Linked DNA regions of Danio rerio. The main gene of each other region encodes a partner of the protein of the gene in region 2 in a complex. Links are inferred from orthologs where the notes say so. Each region holds a gene or a part of one and is shown on either strand. Other genes may lie near its edges. The genes, in order: cnot11, cnot9 and cnot7.

Region 1 (3,651 bases), on a different chromosome or scaffold from region 2:
TCCCTAAAAGAGATCTTGTTGTTCAAACTTTTGAGCTTTGATGCGTTCAGCACTTGAGTTACTAAAGGCATTTTACTAGCAGCAAGTTGACAAAATAAATTACAAGGCATTTTGTAAAAATAGATCAAAAGATTCAGTTTAAACAACTGTTATTTTTTTATTATATTTGACTTATTATTATTATCATCATTATTATTTTAAATTTTATGACTTAAGCGTCATGGTGGCTCAGTGTTTATCACTGTGGCCTCACAGCAAGAAGGTTGCTGTTTCGAGTCTCGGCTGGGTCTGTGTGGAGTTTGCATGTTCTCCCCGTGTTGGTGTGGGTTTCCTTCGGGTGCTCCGGTTTCCCCCACAGTCCAAACACATGCGCTACAGGGGAACTGATCAACTACACTGGCCGTAGCATATGAGTGTTTGTGTATGGGTGTTTCCCAGTGATGGGTTGCAGCTGGAAGAGCATCTGCTGTGTTAAACATATGCTGGAATAGTTGGCGGTTCATTATGCTGTGGTGACCTCTGATAAATGAGTGACTAATGCTGAAGGAAAATGAATGAATGAATTTTATGACTCTCTGGACTCAACTCGCACTCGCATGTTAAGGACTCGGACGGACTTAAATCCTACTCAGCCCCTTTAGGACTCGGACTTGGCCTCGACTGGTTAAGGACTTGGTCTTGACCTGGACTAGACAAAGGTGGACTCGACCTCAACACTAAACTAAACAGCAGACTGTGCAGGTACAAGCACTCCGTGATCCAGCTGGAGGACATCAGCTTACACAAACACACACACATACCTGTTGACCACCTCCATGGAGTGCAGGGACATGTCCATGTTGACCAGCACAGAGAAGTACTCTGTGATCTGGCTGGAGGACATCAGCTTCAGCAGCATCTCGATGGCCACCAGAGGGTTGTTCTCCACCAGGTCCGGCAGTTTGGCGGGGGTCAGGCCGATGTGGTACACCAGCTTCAGGTCCTTCTCCAGCTCGCCCAGCAGCTGACGACACACACACACACACACATGCTCAGATGGACTGGACAGGTGTGTATATGTAGTGGTCAGGTGTGTAGCGCCACTTTATATACAGAATAACCTCTTGGAACAGTTTAAATCCGTTTATTGGTAGACAGACTGCTGTAATCACATGTGTGTAGTGTGCAGTGTACAGGTGTGTGTAGTGTAGAGGTGTGTGTGTGTAGTGTGTACCTGTGTCTGCTGCGCCGCTGACAGTGGACTCTTAAAGGCTTTGGCCATGATGCGTTTGATCTCCACACCAGTGCCGTTGCGCACACACATAGAGCGGTCCCACTGCACACGGTGCTCCGGCTCACAGGGGTTCAGCCAGCACAGCTCGTCCTCACACACCAGCAGCGGCGGAGTGGGGCGGATGAACTCAGGCCGGAAGTGACCTGATGGAGGAACACACACACCATCAGCAGATGGAGAATACACACATCACCTTCATCATCATCATCATCATCTTACTCTCCAGAGGAGGGCGTGGTCCTGTCACTAGAGACTCTGTGATCTGATTGGCCACGGAGCTGTCGAAGCCAGAGTTGGAGGAGTCTGGATCCGGGTCGCTGAGCAGGCTGGGAAAACTGGCTTTACTCTGAGTGGGCAACTCTGACTGACGCTCTGCGGAGAACAGAAGAGGAGAGATTACTGGAGGATCAGGAGCACTGGACAGTCCTGAAGAGGGAGACACTGCTGTAGAGCACAGATATACTGAACACCTCAAACACATCTGCAATAACACCACTGCTGTACTGGATTTATTCTAAACGAATGTGAGAATGTTTGTGCTATATTATATTAATTGTACATCAGCGGGTGCAGCTCCTCCTCCTCAGTCCAACATCAGCTGGGAATGTCAGACAGGAGTCCTGCACAGTGGTCAGAGGGGTTGTGAGCGGTTCTTCTTCAGAATAGTGTTCAGGTCACTGCTGATGCTGCTGGAGGAAAACCTCTCCTGACCCACTCCCCCAAAACAGCCCAAACTGCTCAATAATGTTTAGCTCTGGGTACTGTGCAGGCCATGGGAGATGTTCAGCTTCACTGTCATGTTCATCAGACCGCTCTGTCTCCAGTCCTGCTGTGTGTGTCGCTGCATCATCATCCTAACACAACAACACCTTCAGGATACAGTGATTGACCCATTGGGTCACATGCTCCTCCAGAATAGTTGGGTATTCCTTGGCAGCGACCCAGTGCCCATCTAGCACCTGTCTAGGGAACATTATGATATTGAGCCCAGACCATCAGTGACCCCGCATGCTTGACTCTGGGCATCAGCAGTCTGGGTGGGCCGCTCCTGTGGGGCTTCTCCACACCGTAACTCTCCCGCATGTGGGAAACACAGTGAAGCTGGATCATCAGAGATCAGCACACGCTCCACACCGTCCACAGCTCCAGATCCCCACCGCTCCTCCACTGAAGCCGGCGTTCGGCGTGAGCAGAGGTTTGGGTCATGTATACTGACCCAGTGGAGCTCCAGAGCAGCAGTTCTGCTGGACACAGGAGAGTGGAGCTGCACATGTCATTCTGCAGTGAGTCGGGCCGCTGAGCTCTGATGTGTTCTGGGTCAGTCAGGGTTAGCAGCTTCCTCCGGCCTCCACAGCTCCTCCTGCTGCATGTGCTTCTTCCTCTTGGTGGTTTGCTGACATTACTCTGGACACCGCAGCTCTCAAACATCACACACACCTGCTGTCTCGCTCACAGACACACTGCAGCACTCTGTCCCCATAATGCAGTGTGTGTGCAGTATTAAAGTAGAACTGTGCTGCTCCTCTGCTGATGAACCCTTCACACTCTGCTCTTATGGTGTGTGTGTGTGTGTGTGTGTGTGTTCTTACCGGCGAGTGCGAGCTGCAGGCCGCTGATGTCTATAGTCTGCGGTGTGGAAGTGATGTCCATGCAGGACACTTGTCTCGGGGTCTTCTTGAAGAGTTCTCGTGGAGGCGCCAGCATCAGCTGAGACAGGAAGAACTTCTCTGGCAGTGTGATGGGTGGTAGGAAACCTGCAGCAACACAACACACACACACACACACACACACACACACACACACACACACACACACACACACACACACGCTTACTGGGAGTGTTCGCAAAAACAAACTAAATGTACTGCATTCACTGAAAATCCAACAAATATTTACCATCCAGTCACATATGCTGCATGTGTGTGATGTAGTGTGTGTGTGTGTTGTAGCGTGTGTGTGTGTGTGTGTGTAGTGTCCTGTAGTTTTTGTGCTGTGAGTGTATATTAATATAACTAAAGTGCAGCATTGAGATGAAGGTGAAACAGAAATGAACAGGTAACAGCAGCAGCACCTGACAGTGTTTTCTCCTGCTCCTCCGCGGCGCTGGACGGGTTCAGCAGATGAGCGAACACCGCGGCGAAGGGGTTGGCGGCGAGCGGCTCGGTGCGGTACATCTCCCACAGCAGATAGAGCGCCGTCAGCCGCTGCGGAGCGCTGGGTAACAGATCCGGCTGCTGCAGCAACATCACCAGCACCGAGCCCACGCCGAAGTGCTCCGCCTTCCCGAAACAATGGTGGAACGCGGAGGAGAGCTGCTCGAAACTACTGCTGCACGCATCCTCCGACATGATGCCCAGCAGATTAGACAGATCCTTAGG
Region 2 (4,438 bases):
TAATATAATTTAAAATGACACATTCTATTAAAATAAGCATCACAACCAAAATACACTTATACAAGTCACAAATAGGTTTTTCTTTCCTTCATTGAGTCATTACTTTGACTACTAACGTCTAGGCATGGGACGATTTAAAAGTTTGGAATAGACAAGGCTTTAAAACCGCTAAAATGTTCTGTTATATCGTTTATAAGGTATATGTAAGGGTTTACAGTGTATTTTTTTTTTGTGTGTTGTAAAGAAATCTGTGTTTTTGAAACTAATAAAGAGAGCAGAAGTCAATGATTTATTTTTACTATTTACCCTGACATAGTTCATAAAACATAATATATTGCATGGAGAAAGTTTTTTTGTTTTGTTTTACCCAGATATGTAAAAAGCACTTATTTTAGCGCAGTAATGATACCACAAAACTATGCTATTTTTATCCAAGGTTATATCATACTGTCAGAATCTTATACCAGCCCATGCCTACTAATGACTCAAATGTCAAAATGTATGGTGTAATTTTTTTTCTCACAAGTTGTTACTATATTACCAGGTGACAAAATTAATATTAATAATAGTCACACATAACTATAACTCATAACTATATTTACTAATGACCATGAGGAAAATAATTCTATTTACAGGGTTCGTCCTTCATTTCAATGATTTTCAAGTAAGTTTTAATGACCTAATGTTACATGTACTGTCTCCATATACGTGGTAAATAACAAGAAAAACTATGCATGTTAAAGGTTATAATGGAATATCATAAAACAATCTATTAGGTTTAAATGAATCTTTATAGGCTGCACAGTGGCACAGTGGGTATCACCGTGCTCCGGTTTTCCCCACAGTCCAACGACATGTGGTATAGGTGAATAGGGTAAGTTAAATTGTCCGTAGTGTATGTGTGTGAACGAGTGTGTATGGATGTTTCCCAGTGATGGGCTGCACCTGGAAGGGCATCCGCTATGTAAAAACATGCTGGATAAGTTGATGGTTCACTCCGCTGTGGCGACCACAGATTAATAAAGGGACTAAGCAAAAAGAAAATGAATGAATGAATAAATTAATCTTTATATCCATTTAAAATTTATTTAGACAATGTTCACACACTACTAATAATGTGAGAGCATGTGTTCGACCATGGACAGAAAAGAAGTAGGGCTCAACGCTAAGAATTTTTTCTACTGGCCCAATCGGACCAGCTGTTCAGATTTTTACTTGCCCTGCCAATATTTTAACTGGCCCCACCAAAAAAAGTTAATAGCTATTTCTTAGCCACAAATTAAAAAGAAAAACATGTCAAAATGTTTGTAAATCTAGAATTTAAATATTAAAAAAAAAATTAATGTTAATAAACTACTAGTTAATTAATAGTTAATAAATGTATAATGAGCAAAATTCTAAGTGTTCTGAAACAAAGGATGGCTAAAGACCTGCCGAACTGACGGCAAACTGTACAAAACATCACTTAATTGTTTTAGTCGTGGTGTACCCTCGTAAATGTCTGCTTCCAAGACATTAAAAACACATGTCTTCCTTTAGCATAATCATTTGATGTTACCGCCATGTTGGAGTCTCTACGCTGTACTGGTTGATACGGATAAAAATAATGTGCTCACAACATCCAATCAGATAAGAAAAACCGAAAGGTAGCATTTGAAGGCTTGAAAACACAAACTCTTTCTCAATTCTAAGACTGTATTTTGCACGCAATTGACAAATAGTCACAGGCAAATGAAACTAGTGACAAGGCAGCATAAATGATCCTGTCTACTGTCCCAAGCATCTCACACACTGGCCCCGGGCCATCGGGCAGTCCTTATTGTTGAGCTCTGAGAAGTAAAAAAGACAACTGATCTATATTTAAGTATACAGATACCTGTTAAACTAATTTCCATGATTTTTTTCTAAAACTTTGTTGGTTTTTCCGTTTTTCCAGGCCTGGAAAATGCCATGTCAAATTTCCATGACTTTTCCAGGTTTTCAATGACCGTATGAACCCTGCATTTAACTGACTTAAATTATAATATTGTTATTATTATTAAATTATAACGCGATTTATATTGTCATCTATATTTTACATTCAGAAATGCAATTTTTCTCATAAGAAGCCTAATTTTACGGCTTTGTTGACTGAAATATGTTTATATATTACCAGCACCAGCGACTCTCAAACGTGTTAATTTAATTGCGAACATTACATATGTACATTTTGGATACTTGTTTTTTGTTTATACGTCCTCGTTTGATATTTATATTTTTGATGTAAAATGTAATATGCTGTTCTTTAAATGAAAAAAATAAAACACTAACTTAACAACTATGCTAATATTATGTTTACAAAAAGCACACGTAGAAAACGTCAGGCTCGCATAAATTTCTCACATATGACTCTCTAATAACTATAAGTACTTACACTACATTATGTTTAAAGAAAAGTCTAAAATAAAGACGAAAACGAGCTTTAATACAGATCACCATAGTAACTGGTTGAATTAGCTTTAGCCGTTAGCTCTACCAGGCCCCTGCACAAACAAGAGTAAAACCCCGAAAAGCGTCCAGAAACTCACCGCTCCTGTCGCCAACATCCTCGCGACCGCTTTACTGTGCTCTCCAGAATAAAAGTGAACAGTGGTTTTCAAAACAACGAGAAATAAACCAGGTTTACATTAGCAAATGAGGTAAGGGGAAAAAAACAACCGCCTTCCGCAGCTGCCTCTTCTTCTACGCTCCTCTTCTTCTTTTTCTTTCTCTGAGTTGTTGGCGGGTAAGGATCATCTGTGTTCATTGCTGCCCCCATGCCGACTCTTGAGTAGTAGCCTACTATACTTAAAGTGCTTATTTTAAACTCCATTGTTCACTTCTACTAAAAAATAACAATTCATTGATTATAGTTATTATAAATATGCTGTTCATCATAATGGTATTAAAATTATTACGTTATAATGATTATTATGTGATTAATGATAACAATAGGGTATTGATATTTTCATATAATAATAATAATAATAATAATAATAATAATAATCACAACAATAATAATCAATTATTCATTTTTCATCCATTTTCTTTTTGGCTTAGTCCCTTTTTTAATCTGGTGTCGCCACAGCGGAATGAACTGCCAACTAATCCAGTTTATGTTTTACGCAGGGGATGCCCTTCTAGCTGCAACCCATCACTGCATGCCCGTAGCCAGCCTGGTGAAAGGGGTGGTTCTTTTTGACCTTGTGGAACTTTTTTCACTTATACGCCTCAGTTTCTATTTAACTTTGAGATTTGAATACTGCAAGTACTGGTGAAGTTTTTTTTCCCTCTCCGCTGTCGCCACTGCCTCGCATGGTTCAGGATTGGTAGAGCTACGCATCAATGAATCGGCTCTTCAGTGTTTGAACTCTCAGTAATGATTAAATCACACTGAACTGAGCTAAACTGAACTGAACTGAACTTAAACACTAAAACCTGAACCACACTGTTCCAGTTACTATGACCATTTATGTGAAGCTGCTTTGACACAATCTACATTGTAAAAGCGCTATACAAATAAAGCTGAATTGAATTGAATTGAACTGCATTTTAGTGATTTTTTTGCTGGATTAACTAGTCAGATGTCATCAAAACCGCACTTTTTGATGTACTAAAAATATGTCTTAAAAATTGCATTAAAAAAATAAAACAAGACTAATTTTTAAAATACAAATTTATTAAATAATATACAGTATCATTAAGAAAAAATAGCAATCTGTCAAAGTTTTGAAGTAAAATAATTGTTGCCCACTAACATTTATTAGACAAAAAACAAACTGGCCAGCACACGCAACTGCCCTTAGTCACAATTTGGCCAAAAAATGTTAAAATTTAATAATAATAATAATAATAAAACAATTATAATGAATTTTGCAGAATTGTTCTAGTCTCTTTGGTAAAAAAAAATACAATTGAAAAATCCTAGATATGAACAATAGCCAACATATATTCTAATTAATTTAATATGGTCTGCTTCTGATGCTTCACATCTTTTTAATGCTCATTTTTATTTCAGAAATAAGGTCCCAGATTTAGAATAAAAGTAACCTGTAAATGTTTTCTCTGTTTAAAAGCAATACAGTAGTGAAAGAAGACTTCTCTTACATCAGATTATAGTCCCACCGAAGCAGCAGCCGACAGAGGATTTCACTTGGTCTTAAAGCCTTTTTTTTTCTTTTTCTTTTTTGATGGATTATTTTCAATATTTATGATGGCAGCAGTCAAAATAGGACAGATGAGCTCATGTATGGGACAAATTCTGGTTAGAGCATGTTTTATGCTTATAGTAAACTTGTTTCAGGTGCAGGTCAGATTTTCTCCAGGTAATAATTTATTAATTTTGTCTATAAAATGATTAAACCTGTCTAGTTTCATCTGCAATGCATCCCAGATCACCTTCTGAAGTGGTTTGAGCGAT
Region 3 (4,433 bases), on a different chromosome or scaffold from region 2:
ACCCACTACCTTATTTTTTTTTAATCCTTTTATTCCTATTTTTTTTTAATATATGCAAGTGCCATAAAGGTCACAATTTAACATGGTGCTGTAAAATCAATCTGATGCCCTTGATGGTATTGCTGTGTGGTTAATCGAACATAAACACCCCAGGAGTCTCAATCCAATGAAAGAAAAAACAAAACAAAAAGGCAGATTTTTATTTGTATGCTGTTTAATTCATTCATTTATTTTCTTTTTGGTTTAGTCCCTTTATTAATCTGGGGTCGCCACAGCGGAATGAACTACCAACTTATCCAGCATATGTTTTACACAGCGGATGCCCTTCCAGCTGCAACCCATCACTGGGTTCACAAACATACACTATGTGCAATTTAGCTTACTCAATTCACCTATACCACATGTTTTTGGACTTGTGGGGGAAACCGAAGCACCCGGAGGAAACCCACGCGAACACGGAGAGAACATGCAAACTCCACACAGAAATGCCAACTGACCCAGTGGGAGCTTGAACCAGCGGCTTTCTTGCTGTGAGGCAATTGTGCTACCCACTGCGCCACCATGCTGCCCATGTTGTTTAATGTAACTATTAAATACTATTTGTGTGCTCTGTAGATTATGAATAAAATATAGTAATTCTAATAGTTTATTTAAATTTAATCAATTTTTGGAAATCATCAAGCGGCTCTCCCACATTGTCCTGCGACCCCTCCCCACCCCCCCAGGGGGTGCCAACCCCCTCTTTGGGAACCACTGATTTAAGCAATGCAATTAAAACTGCAATCTGCTTTATTTCAAAATTAAATGTGACTGTGTATTTGACTTGCAGGGCAGCACATACTGAACAGCATCTGACTTAAAGCAGTGAATGCTACTTTATCCAACTTGAGACTACACCGATGTCAAGTTTTTTTTCCTCCTTCCCTTTCCCTTGTGTTACTGCACAAGCTTTGATGACAACACAAGTGTTTCACATTTGGCCAGGTGACAATGCCTCTGGTCTTTTCTGAAACATTACAGCTCAGGTGATGCTTCTGAATTTGTTTTTATAAAAATACAAACACATTTTATGCAACCATAACTATCTTTTTTTAACTTTTTCATGTATAGCAAAATAAAATTGATAAAAATGTATAGAAAATGTATAGATACCGATGTTACAGGCTGGGTATAAAGCAAACTGTTGCATTAAAAATGATCTGAAAAGGCTGTCTATTTGAAGCATTCGATCCCAGAATGCATGTGTAATTATAAAAACACAAACTGTTTTTTTCTTTCTTCACTTGAATTACACAGGCCTATCTAGTTTAATGCTTTTGGGCCCTCAAGATGTGTTTTTGTTTTGTGCAAAGCTAAGGGAGTGACATACAGCTTAAACGAAATTTAAACAACAAGTATAACAATCATCACATGCCCTTACACCTCTGTGACATCTGATGTAGACATTCTGGATATTAACAGCACTATTTAAACTTGCTAAGCAACAATCCTAGATTACATGTGAAAAATAAAACTGGACTCATTTAAATGAAACAACATGACTTTCAAACTCACCATTGCAATGTAGTTGAACTTTCGGGTCACCTGTCGGATCCTCTTCATCTCTTCTTCCAGATTACAGGCCCAAACCTCACATATTCTCTGGCTATGATCCACAGTGGCTGCGGGCATAGTTCCACTCTCAGGTGCACGGCATCAAAACCAAAAAAACACTCCCCAGGGGATATTCTCATGAAATAATAGTTGCTTGTTCCCTCTTTTTGCCTGCAAAAACAAACAAAGCATTACAACTAGCCTGCTGATTTAAATCAAATGACTTTATTCTTACTACATCACAAACAATACACTAACAAATAAATAAAATGCAAATTCATTTTATGAAAGTGTAAATAAACAGTGTTCAAAATGCAGAATGAATAAAAGAATATGTACTAAATGGTTTATATATGTCACCAAAAGTCCATCATCTGTCATTAAAATGAGAATTTTGTAATCAAGTATGCACAAACTGAATTTTCTGCTCTAAACTCTAAATAACAACTAAACTTGTCTGTGAATTTAGTTGTGGATCCTACGTCTGCCATGGCCTGGATGATTCACTTGGGTAAATCAATATAAATGTGTTTACAAATTTCACACTTTGTTAGATGAACAACCTTTTCATTCCAGACAGCATTATGAAGATTAGAAACAGAAGGAGATTTTCTTCCTCTAAGCTTCCTCTTTGTAAACATGACTCCTCGGCTGCTATTTTTGCTTCATGACAGCATTTGAATAATGATTCATACTTACAACATACAGAAAAAAACTACTGTAGTGTGACTAAACATTACAACAAGTGCCAGATAAGACAACATGGTTTCAGGCTAACAGAAGCATTCACTTCAATATGCAAACAAAGCATGTAGGAAGATTGGTTGTGTGCCAAAAATGCTTTTGAATATTCATGCACGTTAAAGTGATTTTATAGTCTATTGTATTCTGCCTCACATGTCCTTAAGCTATTAAACGCCCAAATAACTTACTGTGGGTTGACAGGTTAGAAGCATCAGCAGCAGCTAGGACAAAATCTGCTAAACTGAAAAAACAACACCGCAAACGTCCTGAAATCACGTCTACACTAAGCTTTCAAAGAACTGTGTTAGTAGCCTCTCGTAACGTGTGAATTGTGCTGTTTGGAGAACGGGGTGAATGTTTATTTCTGTATGAGGCTAGCGTGTTAGCTACTAGCTTAGCCACAAAGTTTGTCCTGTTAGAATGATCAAACTTGACTTTTTTTCTGTCAGGACTTACCTTTCCTCAAACAAGGTAGTTACACTTAAAGCGTATACTGCTTCAGTAATACACAATCACCTTGTTTAGAAAGGACTGGGACGTTTGTTCTTTACTTTTATATAGTTTTATTGGGCTAACACCGATATCAACAACCAGCTGCCACCTCTGAAACTACATCACAGCGCTACAGCGTGACGTCACAACACCACGACGCCTGACCTTTGAACTCCTCGTGGGAGTTTTATGTTCGTAAATAAAGACGCTGATGTGCAATTTAGTTATTTTTATGTTTATGCTTCATAACCCCCAGGTAATGTTTATTTTCATATTATTTTCTATATATTCATATTATCTCTCTGTTTATCTATCTGTCTGGCATGGGACAATAGCCGTTCTCAAGGTATACTGTACTTTGGAAAAGTCAACGTTTTAAAACCGCCCAAATTTTCAGCTATAACGTTTCTTACAAGGTATGTGTAATAATTTGTATTCAGTTTTTTTTTTTTTTTTTTTTTTAGGACAACAGTATCTCCAGCAGAAAAGGTATCCAAAGATACTATTGTAAAGAAACATTTGTAACTAGATTCTTAAAGTTTGAGGACAAACTTTGAGGCAGGCTTGTGAAAGCCTGATGATAATAGTTTATTTAGTTTAAACAGTTTTAAAAAGTATGAAAAGATGATTCTAGCATGAATTAGCATGATAGATAGATAGATAGACAGACAGACAGATAGATAGATAGATAGATAGATAGATAGATAGATAGATGATAGATAGATAGATAGATAGATAGATAGATAGATAGATAGATAGATAGATAGATAGATAGATAGATAGATAGATAGATAGATAGATAGATAGATAGATAGACAGACAGATAGATAGATAGATAGATGGTTTGCTAGCATGAGTCAAACAAGCCAACCCCAGCTTCTCTAAGATGTTCTGATACTAAGATATAGCTGCTGTTAAATCGTTGCTAGGTTAGTCTGTTTTGTTGCTATGGAGTTGATTGACAGTTTAGACTGTTGATGTATCAAAGCTTCTTGCCAGTATGAACAGTTAAAAGCAACACATGTCTCTATCTCACTGCAGCATGACGATATCAGTCTGAACCTCTATAATAGCAGTCTATGGGATCGTTGCTAGGGTGCCGCATCTGGTTGTTAGGGGTGTGGCTAGAAAGTTAAAAGCTCATCAGTTATTGGTAGTTTGGTAGTCTGAGTTAATTGAGCCCAGTTAAAAGTCTGTGCAACAGTTTCATGTAGAGTTATGAGCTCACAAAGTTTGACCCAATGTAAAGTCAATGAGAGTCTTTTGCAGTGGAAGTCTATGGGACAGTTTCTAGGGTCCCAAAAGTGGTTGCTAGGGTGTGGCCAGAAAGTTAAAAGCTCATCAGTTATTGGCAGTTAGGTAGTCTGAGTTAAATGAGCCCAGTTAGAAGTCTGTAGGACAGTCTGATGCAGAGTTATGAGGTCACAAAGATTGGTCCAATGTTAAGTCAATGGGATTTTTCCGATGGTCCCGGGACGTTTTTCGGAAAACCGAAAGTCGGATCAGTCGGAAAAGATATAGCAACCCGAGTCAGACCAGTTTGGAGGTCTGGTGTGAGTTTGGTGGTCATAGCTTGAAAGCTCTAGGAGGAGATAGAGTTTAAT

Evidence for each region.
Region 1: cnot9 (region 2) and cnot11 share a complex: the UniProt entries of both Homo sapiens proteins name them as parts of the CCR4-NOT complex. The link is inferred for Danio rerio from reciprocal best matches to the Homo sapiens genes CNOT9 and CNOT11.
Region 3: cnot9 (region 2) and cnot7 share a complex: the UniProt entries of both Homo sapiens proteins name them as parts of the CCR4-NOT complex. The link is inferred for Danio rerio from reciprocal best matches to the Homo sapiens genes CNOT9 and CNOT7.

The regions. Positions count from the first base shown.
Region 1 is NC_133184.1:58,590,315-58,593,965, reverse strand, and holds part of cnot11 (CCR4-NOT transcription complex subunit 11), read right to left. Parts: coding exon 3,345-3,651; intron 3,028-3,344; coding exon 2,863-3,027; intron 1,646-2,862; coding exon 1,493-1,645; intron 1,417-1,492; coding exon 1,214-1,416; intron 1,004-1,213; coding exon 801-1,003; intron 1-800. UniProt on the Homo sapiens protein: Component of the CCR4-NOT complex which is one of the major cellular mRNA deadenylases and is linked to various cellular processes including bulk mRNA degradation, miRNA-mediated repression, translational repression during translational initiation and general transcription regulation.
Region 2 is NC_133197.1:12,453,815-12,458,252, forward strand, and holds the start of cnot9 (CCR4-NOT transcription complex subunit 9), read right to left. Parts: upstream 2,802-4,438; 5' UTR 2,586-2,801; coding exon 2,568-2,585; intron 1-2,567. UniProt on the Homo sapiens protein: Component of the CCR4-NOT complex which is one of the major cellular mRNA deadenylases and is linked to various cellular processes including bulk mRNA degradation, miRNA-mediated repression, translational repression during translational initiation and general transcription regulation.
Region 3 is NC_133189.1:34,918,120-34,922,552, reverse strand, and holds the start of cnot7 (CCR4-NOT transcription complex subunit 7), read right to left. Parts: upstream 2,951-4,433; 5' UTR 2,794-2,950; exon of another isoform or gene 2,526-2,793; intron 1,765-2,525; 5' UTR 1,672-1,764; coding exon 1,555-1,671; intron 1-1,554. UniProt on the Homo sapiens protein: Has 3'-5' poly(A) exoribonuclease activity for synthetic poly(A) RNA substrate. Its function seems to be partially redundant with that of CNOT8.